2 linked regions of the Rattus norvegicus genome follow. The protein of the gene in region 2 purifies or fractionates together with the protein of the main gene of each other region. This does not show direct contact. Links are inferred from orthologs where the notes say so. Each region holds a gene or a part of one and is shown on either strand. Other genes may lie near its edges.

What was found. Proteins that work in one complex are often made in the same cells at the same time.
Region 1: the proteins of Nhsl3 (region 2) and Wasf1 purify together in Homo sapiens (affinity purification with mass spectrometry; 3 studies listed by BioGRID and IntAct, with this or other methods). This does not show direct contact. The link is inferred for Rattus norvegicus from reciprocal best matches to the Homo sapiens genes NHSL3 and WASF1.

Annotation. Positions count from the first base shown.
Region 1 is NC_086038.1:45,949,857-45,953,503, reverse strand, and holds part of Wasf1 (actin-binding protein WASF1), read right to left. Parts: coding exon 3,547-3,647; intron 1,611-3,546; coding exon 1,431-1,610; intron 432-1,430; coding exon 1-431.
Region 2 is NC_086023.1:146,874,678-146,879,004, forward strand, and holds the start of Nhsl3 (NHS like 3), read right to left. Parts: upstream 2,828-4,327; 5' UTR 2,692-2,827; coding exon 2,466-2,691; intron 1-2,465. UniProt on the Homo sapiens protein: Able to directly activate the TNF-NFkappaB signaling pathway.

The DNA of each region.
Region 1 (3,647 bases), on a different chromosome or scaffold from region 2:
GTGATGATGGCCGAATGCCTGGAGGAGGCAGAGGCGGCGGCGGCGGGGGCGGAGGCAGCCCCTGCACTTCACCTTGTGGGAGTGGATGAACGGGTACAGTCTCACACACTGGGGCGGCTCTGGCTACCGGGGGAGAGGGCTGTACTAGAGGAGGAGCGATTGGAGGAGGAGCTGGGTGAAGGACACCAGGGGCAATCTGAAGAGGGGCTGGAGGCGGGGGCACTGCTGGGGCCTGCAAGGCAGGGGCTGGAGGAGGAGGCGGGGGAGGCACCGGTGGGGGAGGAGTTGAGGTCATGGAAGCTCTCAGTGAGGAGGTGGACAGGGCAGACGGGAGAGGTGGTGGAGGAGGTGGGGGCGTGGGGCTCACAAACACGGGTGTTCTGCCTGCAGCTGGGGACTGGGGACGATTCTCTATCAAACCCGCAGCAGAGCTGAAACGACAGACACCCTAGACTTCAGTGACCGGCAAGCTGAGGAAGGAGACTGCAGAAGCAGTAAACCACTGTAGCTGCCCCTCAGTAAACCCACTAACAGGCTCCCATGGAAGCCTTCAACTATTTAACATTATTGCAAAGAAGTAGAAGTGCACAAATTCGCGTGAGGCTTTGGTTTATAATAATCAAACTTTCCCAACAGCCTCGATGTTGTAATTTCACGTCTCCTCGGGAGTTCCCTGCTTACCTCAGTAAATAGTGTTCAGTTCTACGCTGTGACAGGAGGAGGGGCTGCAGTGACCCCCCCCCCCCATGCACACACACACCGACTGCACTGACTTACAGCAGTGTTTGGCTAATGTGATGATGGCGTTGTGTACCGAGGCTGTTTCGGCTCATCATGTCATTTCAGTGAAGCCAATGCCAGCTCATTAAAAACCACAAAGGAAACTCACACCTCTTTCTTCCTAGGGCTGACAGACCAAATAAGCCAGTGATAGAGGCTTTGGTGGCTTATCCTGTTTTAAATGGGAAAGCTGGTCTGTATTTATTTCTCTATCAGGAAATCTCTTTTTCTAAGTTGGACAACTGATCGCATAAAATTTAAAACAGCCTTACTGAAATACTGCCACGAGCGACTTCCTACCATCCTGAGGCCGCCAGACTGTAAGACTTCATCTTTCCTTGATAACTATATACAATCATGCCAGTTAACAAAGCTGTAATCACACACGAAGACACTGATCCTGAAAGCAATTAGCTAAACGTCCCCAGGAGACCATGCCAGCTCTAACGAGAGGAAAGCGACCACAGGTCATGTCTAAAGGCACTAGCTCCTGTGTTTGTCATTTATGGATGGTCTCCGGCAGCTCCCACACAAAGATGGCAGACTTGTGATAAAGTGTTTATCCAGAGAGCCTAAAATGTTTACTACTGATCCTTCAAAGGGAAAGCTCGCTGATCCCCGAGACAAAGCGTCATGGCTGCCCCACATACCTGACACAGGTGGGGGTGGGTCTTGCATCCCCTGCTGCATGCATTGGTGGAGGTGGAGGTGGTTCATGGGGTCTGACTAAGACCCTCTCCTCAGCTCTGCTTAGGAGTTCACTCATCTGACTGAATGGCAAGGCAGAGAGTGAGTAAGATCCATCCATGTGGTCCACGTATGTCTGCGGCCTTAAAGAAATACACAGCATCAGTGTGAAACACAGCATCAGTGTGAAACACAGTATCAGTATCAGTGTGAAACACACAGTATCAGTATCAGTGTGAAACACAGTATCAGTGTGAAACACACAGCATCAGTGTGAAACACACAGCATCAGTGTGAAATACACAGTATCAGTGTGAAACACACAGCATCAGTGTGAAACACACAGTATCAGTATCAGTGTGAAACACAGTATCAGTGTGAAACACACAGCATCAGTGTGAAATACACAGCATCAGTGTGAAACACACAGCATCAGTGTGAAATACACAGTAACACACAGCATCAGTGTGAAATACACAGTATCAGTGTGAAACACACAGCATCAGTGTGAAACACACAGCATCAGTGTGAAAAACACAGCATCAGTGTGAAACACACAGCATCAGTGTGAAACACACAGTATCAGTCTGAAACACACAGTATCAGTATCAGTGTGAAACACAGTATCAGTGTGAAACACACAGCATCAGTGTGAAATACACAGTATCAGTGTGAAACACACAGCATCAGTGTGAAACACACAGTATCAGTGTGAAACACACAGCATCAGTGTGAAACACACAGTATCAGTGTGAAACACACAGTATCAGTATCAGTGTGAAACACAGTATCAGTGTGAAACACACAGTATCAGTGTGAAACACAGTATCAGTGTGAAACACACAGTATCAGTGTGAAACACAGTATCAGTGTGAAACACACAGCACCAGTGTGTCTGTTAGAAACTGTAGCTCCACAGTCAATCTCTTCAGTGCCGTAGTTTATTTCTGTGTGACTTGTATTAACCAATGACTGATGAGCGAAGTATAAAGTGGAACTTATCACCACTCGGACATTCTGTTGTCTTAAACTAATGGCTTCCAAAACTCTTGTAATGAGAACAAACTCTCCCTGCTTCTAGAGTCAGAGAGAGGCAAGAAAACTCAGAAGACAGCCGGGTAACATGAGATTTAGATAAACAAGACTCTAGGTGAGCACGTGAGGGTTTGTGATGGCAGCACACTCCGGGAGCACAGCTGGCTTAACAGACGTGCACAGCGCATGTCAGAAGCTCCTGAACCTACACAGTAGACGGGCCGGACGTCACCCATGTCTAACCGTAGCAGAAATGCTTACTACATGGGGTGTTTTTTGTTTTTTTTTTTTTTAATTTCTGCTTTTCAGTTTAAGCAGCTAAATAGTATCTCTCAGATATGTTTGCTCTTAAAATAGGCCCCGAAATTTTAGTTATGCCTCCAAGACTTTCTATGTGTTTTTAAAAGGAAACATTACATTATTTTCCAATAAAATCAGTATGGCAACATATACATAGGTTTTTTTTTTCTTTTCCACAGAGGCTTGAAAGTCTGTCTGTTACGGTAGCAGGTTACTTAGATAGGGCTCCTGGCCACTGAGAAAGGAACAGGATCTAACCCACATGTCTGTAAAAGAAAGTAATTCTGTCTGAAATCCCTGACGTATCTGAACTTAAGGATGTGGAAAAGAAAGGAAGTCGGGGGACAGAGAAAAAACAAAGTCAAACTTCTTCTTAACTCCTGCTTCCTATGAGACAAGAATCAATACTAAAATTAAAAATATTGCAGATACACGCTCTTATGGCATTCTAATACACTCTACCTCAGACACGAGGCAGTACTTCAGCCTTCAGATAAAAGCTAAAAGTGTACACTTTAAACTGTTTTCCTACAAGCGACAACACAAAGTCCAAATATGAAAATGACCTGCCCGAGCAGGCTAGAACTTAGCAGGTTCGGTGATCAGGGTTGGAATTATTTTTATCGTTAGAAAGCCTTGCAACTCAAGGGTTCAAAAGCTTAAGATCTGGAAGTATAGAAGTGTAGGTACTGCAGGTAAATCCAATGTTTACCATTCATCAGAAAATAGATAAGTAAGAGAAACCTTGTCTCAAAATGAGAGGCTGGGCCGTTAGCAACTTCGATGTGCTTGTGGAGGAGATCGGCATCATCTTCAGCCAGCTCTGGACCTTGGGCCAGCTTCTG
Region 2 (4,327 bases):
ATCCCGTTTCCGCAATTCTCTCCAGGCTGCCTCTCTGTAGAGTGGGCTGCGTGAGACCTTCGAGCCTCCCCTCTGTGTCTTCTGAAGAATCATGTTGGTTTCTGAAGCATCTGACTGTGAATATCAATCTGAGTTTTTGTCAAATCAGTCATTCGCCGTCACTAAGCCTCAGGGTTTTTGCCCCATGGGATACCCCCACCCCCACCCCCATTGAGAAGAGGTGTTGATATGTAGTCTAGGCTGGCCTCAAATGTATTCTCCTACCTCAGCAACTCCAATGCTGGCGGTGTGCTGCCACTACGTCCAGCTCTGCAAATGGGATCGAGTGAGGAAATGAATGTAAGTCTCCTGACACATTCAGAGTAATCCATCAATGTCAGGTTTCCTCCTTTCTGCTAAGGCTATGAGGGGAAGAAGAGTGTGGGAAGGGAGGTGGGGCACAGGAGATTGCAGCTCAAAATCACATTGTAAGCACCATCTCCCGGTTTACAGAAGAGCAGTAAGGGGAGCTGAGACCTGTGTCTCTCGATCTCTGGTTCTGAGACTGTGGCGGACCCATTGAGCTTCCCACAAAGGCCTCTCAGTCCTTCCAGAAAAGCTCCTAGTAGATCCCTCCTTCCCCAGTCTCCGTTCTGATGGTCATCTGCCCTGAAAGAGTTAAGCCTCCAGCCTCCCCTTCCTGGCCAGTGGAGATTAGAAAGATCGGATTTATTTCTCTTAATAAACAGAAAAGAAGCTGGCCCAGGCAGGTGACAGGGAAACAATCTGAACAATTGGAGGCTGGAGCAAAAGGGAGCAGGCTGCCCTCAGAAGTACCTGCGGCCACCTGCAGCCTCGGAAAGACAACCGCTCAGGGCAGAGGGTGTCACCCAGGCACGTGGACTCTGTGAGGCCAGCCTATTGCCCAGAAATCCCAGTGCTACTCAATACCAAACACAAGACAGGAGGCTAGGCCGCTGACCTGCCAACCCTAGGAGGCTCAAGTACTAACTTACCCCTATAGCCCTCTGCCTCCAGGCTGGTCACCTGAAAAAGAGAGTCACCTCCCTAAGATAGCCCACTCAACCACTATCCTGCCTGACCATCTGACCACAACCCGTATTGCTGCCTTTCTGACACAAGCTCTCTGTGTCAGAGGGGTATAACTTCACCCTGAATTCTAGTGGGGAGCCCTGGGACACATTCCCCTCCAGTTAGGGGCTGGAGAACACTTGGAAACACCACCCCAAGCAAACCTTCCCTCAGGGCTTGGCCCATCCATCTCAATCTAAGCGCCCAAATTTCTATTTGTGGCTGGGCTGCAAGGGAGCGGGGCCCTTTTCCAAAAGGAAGATGGGCCGGATGCAATCATACAAGAGGCTTTACACCCTCTTCCTGACCCCTAACGTTCTTTCTAACTTGCCAGAGGTAGTTAAAGGACACCGAAGGGAAACACAGCTAGATTGGAATGGGCCCCGATCCAGGCCACTTCCTCACCTTCAACACTTTAACTTGGCGGTATAGGAAAGATAAACTTCAGCAGCGGCTGGCCTCTCTACCCTCTAGCAGAGACTAAAGGTCTCCCTACCAAACCGAAGGTAGAAGCAGGAGATGAGGGGAAAGCCGGACAAGTGGCCAAAAGTACAGTGACCTTAACAGGGATAGAAGACTCCCTGTTCCTTCCCGTTTCTGTTTCTCGGGCCTCCCATCCCTTAGGTTCCAGGGAGAGCCATGGGCTCAAAACTTCCAAAGACTCGGAAAGGGCTGCTGGAGTTCACCTGGAGAGCCCATTTCACTTGCGCCTCAGTTTCCCCACTTTCAACACAAGCAGGTTCCTACGGGGACTAGGGAGAGTACTGAGAGAGGAGGAGCGGCCTCTGGTTCAGGATGGTGATCTCACCACTCAGGAGGTGGATGCTTGTGGTTTGGCCCAGGTAAGGGGGGTGTGGGGTGTGGAGATGGGAAAAGCTAACACTGCTAACAACCTAAGGCAAAGGACTCCGCGCTGAGTACTTTGTGGAGCTGGTAACCAGGATCTACCTGGAGGGCAAAAAAAAAAAAAAACCTCCTTTTTGAGTAGGCTGACCTTAAAGACCCAAAGAGACTGCCATTCCAAGACCCAAGGCCACCTGCCTCTCCCATTGGCCCCTGGCCAGTGTCAAATCTCCGACCCCCTGACTCAGCAGAGGGCAGAACCTGGGAGAGGGGAAGTGTCTTTCCACCAGGAGGGCCAGCCAGCCAGCACTTCCTGCTTAAACCGGGGGACCCCTGCCCCAGACAGGGGTCTCTGCCCCTCAAAGTTGGATAGACTGTGTCCCTGGAGCGGCGCAGGTCTTATCTTATGGTACCTTGGGCTCTTCACTTCATCCAAAACCACTGCCTAAGGGACAAGCCGTCCACATACAGCCGACCCCCACCCACCCACCCCAGAGGACCCACCCTGCCACACCCTTGGCGCGCTCAACCCAGGTGCCAGGCCACCTCACCTCGGCTTTTGCCCTTGGACCGCTTGGCCTTGTCCTCCGCTTTCTTGGCCCGCGGGGCGGCGGACTCGGCGCCCTCGGCCCCAGCCGCCTTCTTCTTGCGCCGTTTGCCCCGCAGCCAGCTGAAGGCGCGGCGGAGGCCGGAGCGGGACTTCTTCCTGCGCGGGGGGCCGCCGGGGCTCCCAGGCTCGTCGGCCGCAGGTGCGGCGGGGGGCGCGCGGGCCGCCATGGCGCGGGGCTGGGGACGCGCGGTGCCAGCGGCGGGGGTCAGGCCCCCTGCAGCGCGGCGCCCATGCGCGGGGGCGGCCGCCGCTGGAGACGCGCCCGGAGAAAAAAGTTTGGGCGGCGGAGGCCGAGGGAGAGCTGCGGGGGCGGGGGCAGCTCGGGCGGGGCCGCGGGGCGGGCGGGGCGCGAGCGGCGGGAGCGGCCGTCGGGGGCAGGGGGGGAGCGGTAGCAGCGCAGCGGCAAACCGCCCCTCCCCACCGGCCGTGCCCCGAGGGCGAGGTCCGGCTGCAGAGAAGGGGTTCCTCGTCCCCACTCCCCAAATTTCCAGGATCTGTCTCTCTGAAGAAGTTTGGGATCCGTAAGGCAGGAAAGGGCGCAGCGAGGTCCTGGGCTTGAACCATCCGGTGTCTCCTGCGGTTGGGAAAGACTTTTGCCCAGATACCTAGGACCTGTGGCAGGCATTCCCCTGGCTCAGGACCACAGCGGGGGGCCCCAGCCTCCAGCAATGCTCTGTGTTCCTGATTGTTCCTGATTCATTCTTGAGCACCTAGAGTGGGATGATCCGGCCTCAGTTTACCCTTAACAGGGCTGTGATTCCCCCAGGGCACTCATATTAAGACTCGGGCTTTCCCATGGAGATGCTCAACTAAGATAAATTAGGGTGGGACTTAAGGTAGGTGACTACTGAGTGCCTGGGGAGGCTGGTAAGAAAGCACCTTTAGAAGTCTTGAAAATGCTGTGTTCATTTCCTTGCAGGCCTCTGGTGCTTTATTATAGCTGACCAAGCCCTTTTGTATCTCTGAGTTTACAAGCTGTGAGGAAAGCAAGGTAGGGAATGTTTCCCTTTAGGACAGAAGGGAGAGTGAGGCCAGGAGGAGATCAAAGCCAGCATTCTGAAGCTCATCTCTGCCTAGAGGCTAACAAACCTCCGTGGTCCCCGGAAGAGTCTTGTGTGTCCCATGGTTAGAGTTGAGAGTTGTCTAGCATTATCAACTTGACACTTGTCACACAGCTTTCTCCTGGTCCTTGCCTGCATAAGGAAACGAACAGGAATTGATCACTCAGCCTAATCTCCCCTGGCACACAGTAGACCTCACTCTAAAGTTGTAAGGGGACCACAGTGCAGAGTGTGATCTGACCTGCTCCAGCCCCTGAAAGTCCCCAAGGCTTCCAGCTGTGGCGAACCTGGGGGCCAGGCAGGTTACCTACTGTCCACGCTGAGCCTCAGGCAAAGGGATAAAGTAAGTCTGCACTTCATGCATTCAGAACTGTGAAGGCAAATACTGTCTGTTTGTTTTCACTTATAAACAAGTCTTCTCTTAATGCCAGCCGCTCCCAGCAGGAGGAGGGGAAGGTGGATAGGAAACCAAACAGCCAGCCTTGCCCTGGCTTTTGGAAGGGGTGGTCAGGAGAGTGTTCAGTATTCCTGCCCAGTACCCACTCTTTCAGTACTGTCTTCCCAGTGGCAGAGTTTGGCTAAATAATCTAAGTCCTCTTGTTACATAGGATGGACCTATGTAAGCTGTTACCACCACCATTCCTGGCTACAAAAATTGTTGCTCTCTGGCTTGAGAGATGGCTCAGTGGTTAAGAGCACAGGATGCGGCCCCAGAGGACCCAAGTTCAATTCCCAGCACCTA